Caenorhabditis elegans: one gene and its partner. The protein of the gene in region 1 purifies or fractionates together with the protein of each later gene. This does not show direct contact. Each region holds a gene or a part of one and is shown on either strand. Other genes may lie near its edges.

The links.
Region 2: the proteins of mrps-17 (region 1) and nhr-37 fractionate together in Caenorhabditis elegans (co-fractionation; one large-scale study listed by BioGRID). This does not show direct contact.

What each region holds. Positions count from the first base shown.
Region 1 is NC_003281.10:6,430,218-6,433,591, reverse strand, and holds mrps-17 (Small ribosomal subunit protein uS17m), read left to right. Parts: upstream 1-1,793; 5' UTR 1,794-1,799; coding exon 1,800-1,904; intron 1,905-1,952; coding exon 1,953-2,032; intron 2,033-2,141; coding exon 2,142-2,439; 3' UTR 2,440-2,550; downstream 2,551-3,374. Other genes in the region: vps-16 (Vacuolar protein sorting-associated protein 16 homolog), read right to left, coding at 1-48, 101-186, 257-351; txdc-9 (Thioredoxin domain-containing protein 9), read right to left, coding at 614-805, 934-1,279, 1,323-1,411; Ribonucleases P/MRP protein subunit popl-1, read left to right, coding at 2,691-2,753, 2,802-3,020, 3,068-3,262.
Region 2 is NC_003283.11:6,620,266-6,625,310, reverse strand, and holds nhr-37 (Nuclear Hormone Receptor family), read right to left. Parts: upstream 3,118-5,045; 5' UTR 3,044-3,117; coding exon 2,874-3,043; intron 2,825-2,873; coding exon 2,766-2,824; intron 2,172-2,765; coding exon 2,110-2,171; intron 2,058-2,109; coding exon 1,863-2,057; exon of another isoform or gene 1,856-1,862; intron 1,810-1,855; coding exon 1,504-1,809; intron 1,457-1,503; coding exon 1,362-1,456; intron 1,116-1,361; coding exon 1,000-1,115; intron 953-999; coding exon 801-952; intron 753-800; coding exon 654-752; 3' UTR 535-653; downstream 1-534. Other genes in the region: ppt-1 (Palmitoyl-protein thioesterase 1), read left to right, coding at 26-124, 337-534.

The DNA of each region.
Region 1 (3,374 bases):
TTCTGATCCAAATGTACCAGGAAGCTGGACGAGGAGAATATGCGACAGCTGAAAATTTGATACGTTTTGTATTTAAAATTTAATAGTAAGAAAAAATTACCGATTGGACCTGAGAATTGGCAAGCCGTAAAGTAAACGACATATTTGAGATTTAACGAGTTTGTTCGTAGATACTCTTGTGTGAAACTGAAACCGAAGTGTTCGAAAAGTTTCGAAGTTTGGGAAGCCCGTGTAATGCCGAAAAATTTAAACTTACTACAGCTGTTGATCTCCCAAAAACACTGAACTACTCGGACGAAGACACAACTCTCCATCTAGTTTTGGTTTTGATGGAGCATGAGACTCCCCCATTTCTGGAAATACATTATCTTAATATCTAAAATACTTATTTTACATTAAAAATAATTCTGGATATTAACCGAACGGCTATTTTTCATTTTTCAAAGGATAATATGCTCTTTATTTGCGATTACGAAATTGTGAAAAAGGTAGATAAAACAGCAAACACGGGAGGAGGAAAGCGAAAAAATGGGAAATTATGTGAGATCAAAATGCACATAATTATCAGCAAATGAGAATATGAAAACAAGAAAAAATCATCTTAAGATGGCATCTACCAATCCTCTTCGTTATCGTACTCCTCAACTCCTGATCTAATGATTTTCTTTTTTGCAGGAGCTGTATGCTTCTTCTCGACAGTCAATACTTCAGATCGAGCCAATCGGTTTTCCATGGTCTCGGTGGTAAACTCATCTTTTCCTCCCAATTCATCAAATCCACGAATGTAATCGACGGTTTGTTGCTTCTAAATTTATTTTTTTTTAACTAAATAATCTGGTACAGATGCCAACAAAACTCTATGAAACTAGTCAGATTTGAATTATACAACTTCAGAAAAAAAAATACTATAGCAGGAACCACATTCAAACTTACCACGACGATAGCGATGCTTGGAATGACACGAATATTGAGACGAGTTGTCAGGAAATGAACCTTCTCGGCGTTGACATGTATGAATCGTGTTCCAACATGCTTTCTAGCCAAGATCTCGAAATGCTTATCCACAATTTTGCATCGGAAGTTTCCAGGTAAGTAGAAAAGACAGACAACTTTATCGCTTTTCTTTGTAGCTTCGAAGAACTCCTTCTCGTCAGCAACTTCCTCGTATTTTCCGTGCCCATGAGACAACATCTCAATTCTGTCTTTTTGAGCTTTCTTCATTTGTTCCATCCGTTGACGACGAATTACCTCAAGATCGTCTTCTTCTAGGTTCTCAAGTCTAAAAACACACATGACAAACAGTTTCTACATTTCAAAATTACTTATTCATCTCCTGGTCGATCTGTTCCTCGACAACTTGAGCTGCTCGTAAAAGCTGCTCCCCAAACTGCTGTTGAATATTAGCGGCCATTTTCTGAAAAATTTAACAGAATTAAATTCAAAATTTAGGAAATTGGAAAGGGAAGACGGCATAATAAGAGCGGAATAAGAGGCATATGACCACCTGGAATTCTAATTACACCCTTTTTATGCCTGAAGGACCATAAAAATCGATAATGAGAAGCTACGAGAATGTTTGGAAATTCCATGAATTTATTCCAAACAATTATTTCTAGCTGTTCAGTAGAGCACACTTGTATGCTTGCACGAAACTGTGCAAACACCATCACGTCAGAATGCACACACACTTGGCAACAATTTTAATTAAATTTTATTCTTAATTTTCAGTTTTTTCGGTTCAGTTTGTATTTAAAAATAATTATTTTGATTTAATTCTTCTATTATTTATTGTGTTTCAGATGCCGAAGACCTCTGTGTGGAAAACGCGCGTTGGAACGCAAATTTTGATGGGTAAAATCACCGACATCACTCAAATTGGAATTGATAGAATTCCATGTGCTCAAGTTGGTTCAATTCTTGAAGACTTTTCGAAGTGTATTGTATTATTTTAGGTAAGATGTCAGATGAACGAATTCAACATCTATCTGAAGAAATATTTCGCCCGATCGTTCGACTTCTGGGCTCTCGACAAGTGAGTTTAAAAATAAGTTGTTTAAAATACCTGTTTTAGAATTACTGCATTTTCTCTGAACTGAATTTATCAATGTGAGAATTACATTTCAAAATTGAAAACATTTTAGAACATCACTTGGAAACATCGGAGATACAGTGCTCATCAAGCAGATCGATGGTTCTTCCCGCCCAAAGGCCAACGTCTCTCATGCTGTTGACCGTGTAGTGTTTAAATTCGGAAACATTGTCGATCCAGTCACAGGACGCAAAATATTCAACGACACATTCGCCGATGAGATTGATTTGAAGAAGGTTTTAGTGGAAGAAGTTGTGGATAAACCATTAGAAGAAGAATCAATGCTATTTGAAGAGAGAAGAGCCCTACAGATCAGAAGATTAGAACAGGAAAAAGAGGCAAATGTGTAGTTTTTGAATGTTCTGAATTTAGACGTTTGATCTGTTTTTACTTTTTGGGAATAGTTAGTTCGTTGTTGTTTATTGTTTGTCGATATTTACATTCAAAAATGAAATGTTTCTTTAAATTTTATTTTTAAAACTTTATACTTCAAGGTTGACTTGATCCTTGTATATTTTTCCAAATTATTTTTTATAATTTTATAACTACAAGTAAATTCAAATTCAAGATGGACATCTCACGTCCGGTGGTTGAGAAACCTATGTTTATAGAAGTCGAAAAGTTCGTGGAAGCTCGAACAAATTCCATTGCACAGCTACTAAAGGTAATTTTTACAACTATAATCTTCAATTCTTCCAAATTTAATTTTCAGGCTATTGACAATGACGCCCTTGTGTCTGGTGAAGTCACAAAAGGTCCAAGAACTGCTGCTCAAAGATTGCCACGTCACATGAGAAGAAGAGCGATGGCATACGATATTCGTCGATTTCCAAGAACAATGAGAGAGTTTGCAGCAGCACATTTAATTTCAAAACATGCTAAAAAGTGTCCAAGTCGGTTTGCGAGACGAAAAAGTGCAAATTCTCGAACAGTAAGAACCCAAATTAACTAAATACTAAATTGCTCGTTTTTTTCCAGAAATTTGGCAGAAGCACCAGTACAAAAGGTATCTGGCTCTCGACACATGTTTGGCATGCGAAAAGATTTCGAATGATTCAAAAATGGGGTTTCAAACTCGCGGATCGCAGCTTTCAACGTGGATTTCGAGCAGTTTTAAGAGATTCTAACAAGAATTGTGTGATTCGAGATAGATCATATTATACATGTGTTACTGTAAGTATTGAAACCAAAGAAAACATTAAGTATTTAGACGTCTAGATTTTTTTCCTCTTAACATTTAACATAAAATTTAGAAAAAAATCTAACATTTTCGTTTTCCCTATAT
Region 2 (5,045 bases), on another chromosome or scaffold:
GAAAAAAAAAGTATTTTTGTTTCAGAATAACAACCCGACTTACAAACGCAACTTATTGAGTCTCAAAAACCTGGTTCTGGTGAAATTCAATCAAGATCATATGGTTGTACCAAAGGATTCATCTGTGAGTGGTTTTTTTTGTTTTGCAGTTTCCGAAAGTAGACTATAGTCGCCTATAGGCGAGGGTCGCCAAAAGCTTGTTAATGCAGGCCGGAGTTTTCCCGAGTATTCTCATTCTAATGGGTACAAAGAGCCACACAGGCAACAGACATTTTGTACCACCTGTCACGGTTCTCACGCTGAAATATTTTATAAAGTCTCAATAATTTATTCCAGTGGTTCGGGTTCTACAAAGACGGTGATATTGACACAATTCTCCCAATGAACGAAACCGACCTGTACAAAGAGGATCGTATTGGATTGAAGAAGCTTCATGAGAGTGGACGAATCCATTTTATGGACGTGGATGGAGATCACTTGCAAATTCCAAGAAGTGTGCTTGTCAACGATATTATCAAAAAATATTTTATGTGAACTTGTTTGATTTTCAAAAAGAAACAACTCGTATTGTAAAACTCGTACGTAAAAATGAATTATGAAATTATCATGACTGGTTGTGTGAGCATTTTCTTGATTTGGGTTCCCATCATTTTCTAAAACATCTCGAAAAAATACGGCTCCGAGATTTCGGCATGAAAGATGTCAAAAAGCCAGAAGAGCTCCTTGATCTTTGATTTCTCACGAGAGATTCTCTAAAAATAGGGGGAAAATCAGAAAACTTAAAAAAAAATTTGGCAAACCTTCATGGATTTGACCAGTTTCATAAGAATCAGAAGCCGATGAGAATACATTTTGATATCCGTCCGATTTGTATAATAAACGTGCATTTGGTCAGCAATTTCTGCTCGCATTTGTTCGCAAGCTTCTCGTGTTTCATGAGAAAGATCACCTTCTAAAATTAAAGTTAATAAAAATTTGATTGATGTTTTTTTTTTTTACCTTCAAGTCCAATAAGGTGAACCATACAAAAAACGACTTCTTCCGTAGTTGGCTTGAGATCAAGAAGTGGCCTTGCAACTTCATCTATGTAACGGTGTAGGAAGGGTTCGAATAGTCTGAAAATTACAAAAATACAAATATAAAAATGTTCAAAGATTTTTCATCATTATATCTTTCTCGACATAGCGGCAAAAATTGTTTTGTTGAATTTTCAGTATTTCAATTAATTTTATAGTAAAGAAAATGCTGTATCAAAATGTGATCCTAAAACCAACGCAACTTTGAGTAGGCTTTTCAGAACATTGACAAATTTCAATCAGCGAATTGTGGGCATTTCAAAGTTTTTGAAACAGAAAACTCACTTGTTGAAATATTGATTCGTGAGATCAGTTATCGAGGCAAAGTCAATATGAGTTGATTCCAATTTCATTGCGAGATCATCATTGATAAGTATATACTGAAAAACAGTTGATATTTTTAAAAATAATTAAAAACTATTCTCACTCCTCCTCGAATGACTCCTTCTTCAAAAATCTTGACAGACATTTCTAGGCGCTCAAATGTTCTAACGACATTCCAAGAAGATCGGAAGAGCTGCATTTTTTGATCCATGGGTAGAGACATTAAAGATTTTGAAGAGGAAAACCAACAAGAGTACATATAGATTCGATCATTGAGCCAATCAATAGCAGATTTCAGCTCGACTTTGTCAAGAAAAGAGATTTGACTTTGAGCTTTTTGATTTTTCCTAAACTTTTTCAATGCAGACGTCAAAGTAGTCAGTTCACAATCGTCGCCTTTTGTTTTATGCTGAACATAAAATAACAAAATTTTCACTTTCAATGTTTTTCGCTTCAACTTACCGAAAATGACGTTTCAATTTTCTTCACCAAGTCATTAAAACTGATAACCATGTTCGGCTTATCCGGTGTTTTTGGCGAGAAGGTGAACAAAAAGTTCGGATCAATTCCAGGTGACTCCACCGAGTTCTTCCGGCTCAAGTTGGTCGGGCTGTAATCAGATTGAGCTGGGCTTCCATTTGGCGTAGAGAATTCGTCCTGAAATGTAGTAAATAAAATAATTGTTTTTAATTTAAAAAACAAAACTCACACTTCCACTATCCTCCATCAAACCGCGAAACGAGTACGTTGGGTCATAGTCCAATTGAACTTCTGAAAAATGAGTATATTTTACTAGAAAAAGAAGAGAAAAAAAGAAGAGAAAAATAATTGGACTCTGTAAAATTTGCAGAAAAAAACGCTTTTGGTTAAATTCCAAAAGAATGGCAGCAAAATTTTTGACAGTAATTGAAATTTTATTTGTGTTTTGGAAAGGATTTAGTTATTTCACCACTAGCAAAAATGAGTGGTGATTTTTAGCAATTTTCAAAATTCAACATTATGTAAAAAAAGGAAATAGGGCACTTTTGTATTTAATGCCCTCATTTTGAAATTATTTAAGCTATAAAAAAAACCTTTGGAATATTTTTGTAATTTTCGGACTTCGGAAAAAATCCTTTCTAAGCCTAAAGAGTAAAAATCAAACATAGAGATGATCTAGAAATTTTGTTAGGATTTTTTATTTTTCAGAAAAAATTATTTTTCTGCGTATTCCACAAAACCTATTCACATGAAGTTTTTGAAAATTTGTCAAACCAATTTTCGCAACAATTTTTCACAAAAACTTTTGATGTAAAATTTTTTGATGTGCACGATATGCACTTGAAAATCTTGCAAGTTTTTATTTTTTTGGAAAAAAAAACATACTCTCTTCATTCATCCCGATTGCTTTGCACTTTGTCAGACGACACTGCCGGCAGACATATCTATAAACAAAACGTGAATTTTCTGATTTTGAAGACTATAGTAACTCACCTTCCACGACCATCAATATTGCATTTTGAATTCCCCTGCTTACATTTATACTGTAATTTCAGTACAGTAGCCCTTCGAAAGAATGCGGCGCACGCTCGGCAGGTGAGTGCACCGAAATGCATTCCATTTGAAGCTTTTTTGCAAACCAAGCATGACTTGTCAGGTACCATTTTTAGATTCTGAGAAGGAAAAAAAGTGTGATCATCATTTTGTAATATGCAAATTGGGTGTTGTCATTCTAAGAGATCTCTACCAGATATGTTATTAGAGAAATGAAAAACGTAGAGAGGAGAGGAAAAGATCAAGTGACCACCGAAAAGGGTTTATATTTGAGAAAAAAAAAGAGGGAAACTTGAAGGAAAAATGAACGTACCTACATGTCAAATTTTGAGACTGAAAACCCAGCCTCAAATCACAAAGTTATCACAGCAATTTTTTGGTACTTTTCTTCACATGTAAGGCAAGATCAGAAGAGAGACATTTTCGGCTGGGGGAAGACGTCATGTCGGCATGTTCTCTGATCGTTACGCTGGTCGAAGACGTAGGAATCTCAGACAAACAATTAAAATCTCACCCCCTTCCGAAAAGAGATAGTCTAGTTGTAGTGGAAGGAAAAGCATAATGACAATTATCAGGATGAAGTGGTGAATTTGGCTAACCGTATTTTCAGAAAACTTTAGCTGGAGTTGTATGAAACGTTTTAAAAATGTGCCTAGGGATACTATAGATACTGAAAGTTCTTAAAATAGAAAACTCAGAAATTTCATATTCGATCTGATGATAAAAGATTTTGAATTTACTTTCCACTTGAAAAGACCACCTCAAAAATTTGTTTCAAAATGTTTTTATGTTCGATGAACCAAAAAGGAAAAAAGTCAGAAAAAAAAGATTTTCGGAATGTGAGAATTTTGGGTTTTCTTGAATTTTATAGGAAAACAATCCCCTTCTGATTACTGCTACATACATTGTACAATTTTTTTAAAAGTGCACACATTGGTACATGATTTGTGATAGAAAATTTTAAGTCAAAATTGTAACTTCGATGGAATTGCGGAAAATCAGAAACAAAAACATTTTAGAATTGCTAGATTGATAGTGACCGATTTAGAATTTTGGATAAAATACGTTGAGCTACTTTATATAGAGGCAACCGATCTTGTCCATCTAATTCGAAACATGTATGTCTTTTGTCGTTTCTATGTTCACATCTGTCTGCGTCTCTTCATAAATTGTCAATCTCTAGCTGTCAATTGCTACTCGGTCTACGAGCATCGATTCACACGCGACCTGTGTTCGCCGAATTGGACTTCCGCAAAACTTTCAAAAGACTAATGTCATCTGATTAGTCTGCGTCTCCGATAGACTGTCATCTGCAGGTAGCCGTCCACCATCCTTGCATCTTCATTGCCAGCCTCGAACCTTTGCCAAACGCTGCAAACTTTTGACAGATCCCGCCTCCCGACCCGCAAGATGATTCGTTAATGCGTTTGGGCCCGATGTCTTATCGTCGCCCTCTACAACACTTGACTCATGAAATAGGACATGGAGACCAGAAAAAGAGAAAAATATTGTGTCTGTTGACGGGGAAAGTTGTTCATTTTTAGGGCATATAACTGTATATATGTTTCAAAAGTTCCTGATCTAGACTGATTCAATTGGGAACAATCATTTTTCTATTCATTTAGATCAGTTGATAGACATCAGATATGTTTTCTCCGATTTTCTTACCCGATGAGTAATAAATTTGCCAAATATGTAGTTCGCATATTTTCCGAGATATCATGATATTTTGTCAATTTGCAAAAGTAGCATCAAAGTAACAACTAGTACAACAATGTTATTCATATAAATTCAATTCACCGCTTTATTAAGTATGCATGTCAAGGAAAACTATTCCCTCAAGTTAAAAAAAAATAAATACAAATAAGTTTAGTCCTATAGTACATAAACTGAAGACTAATTTCAAGTTAACAAGTCTACCATATTTTCCCTACTGGATTTGTACCCCAATTGCTTTACTTTGACGGCTCATATCTCGGTTGTACTAAAATTAATCACAAATATACTGTTAGTGAAATACAGAAGATTATTTAGCACGTATTTTGTCAGTTTACAGTTTTCTGACAAAAGCAAACGAAACCAAGATATTAACTGCCAAAGTGCAGCAAGGAT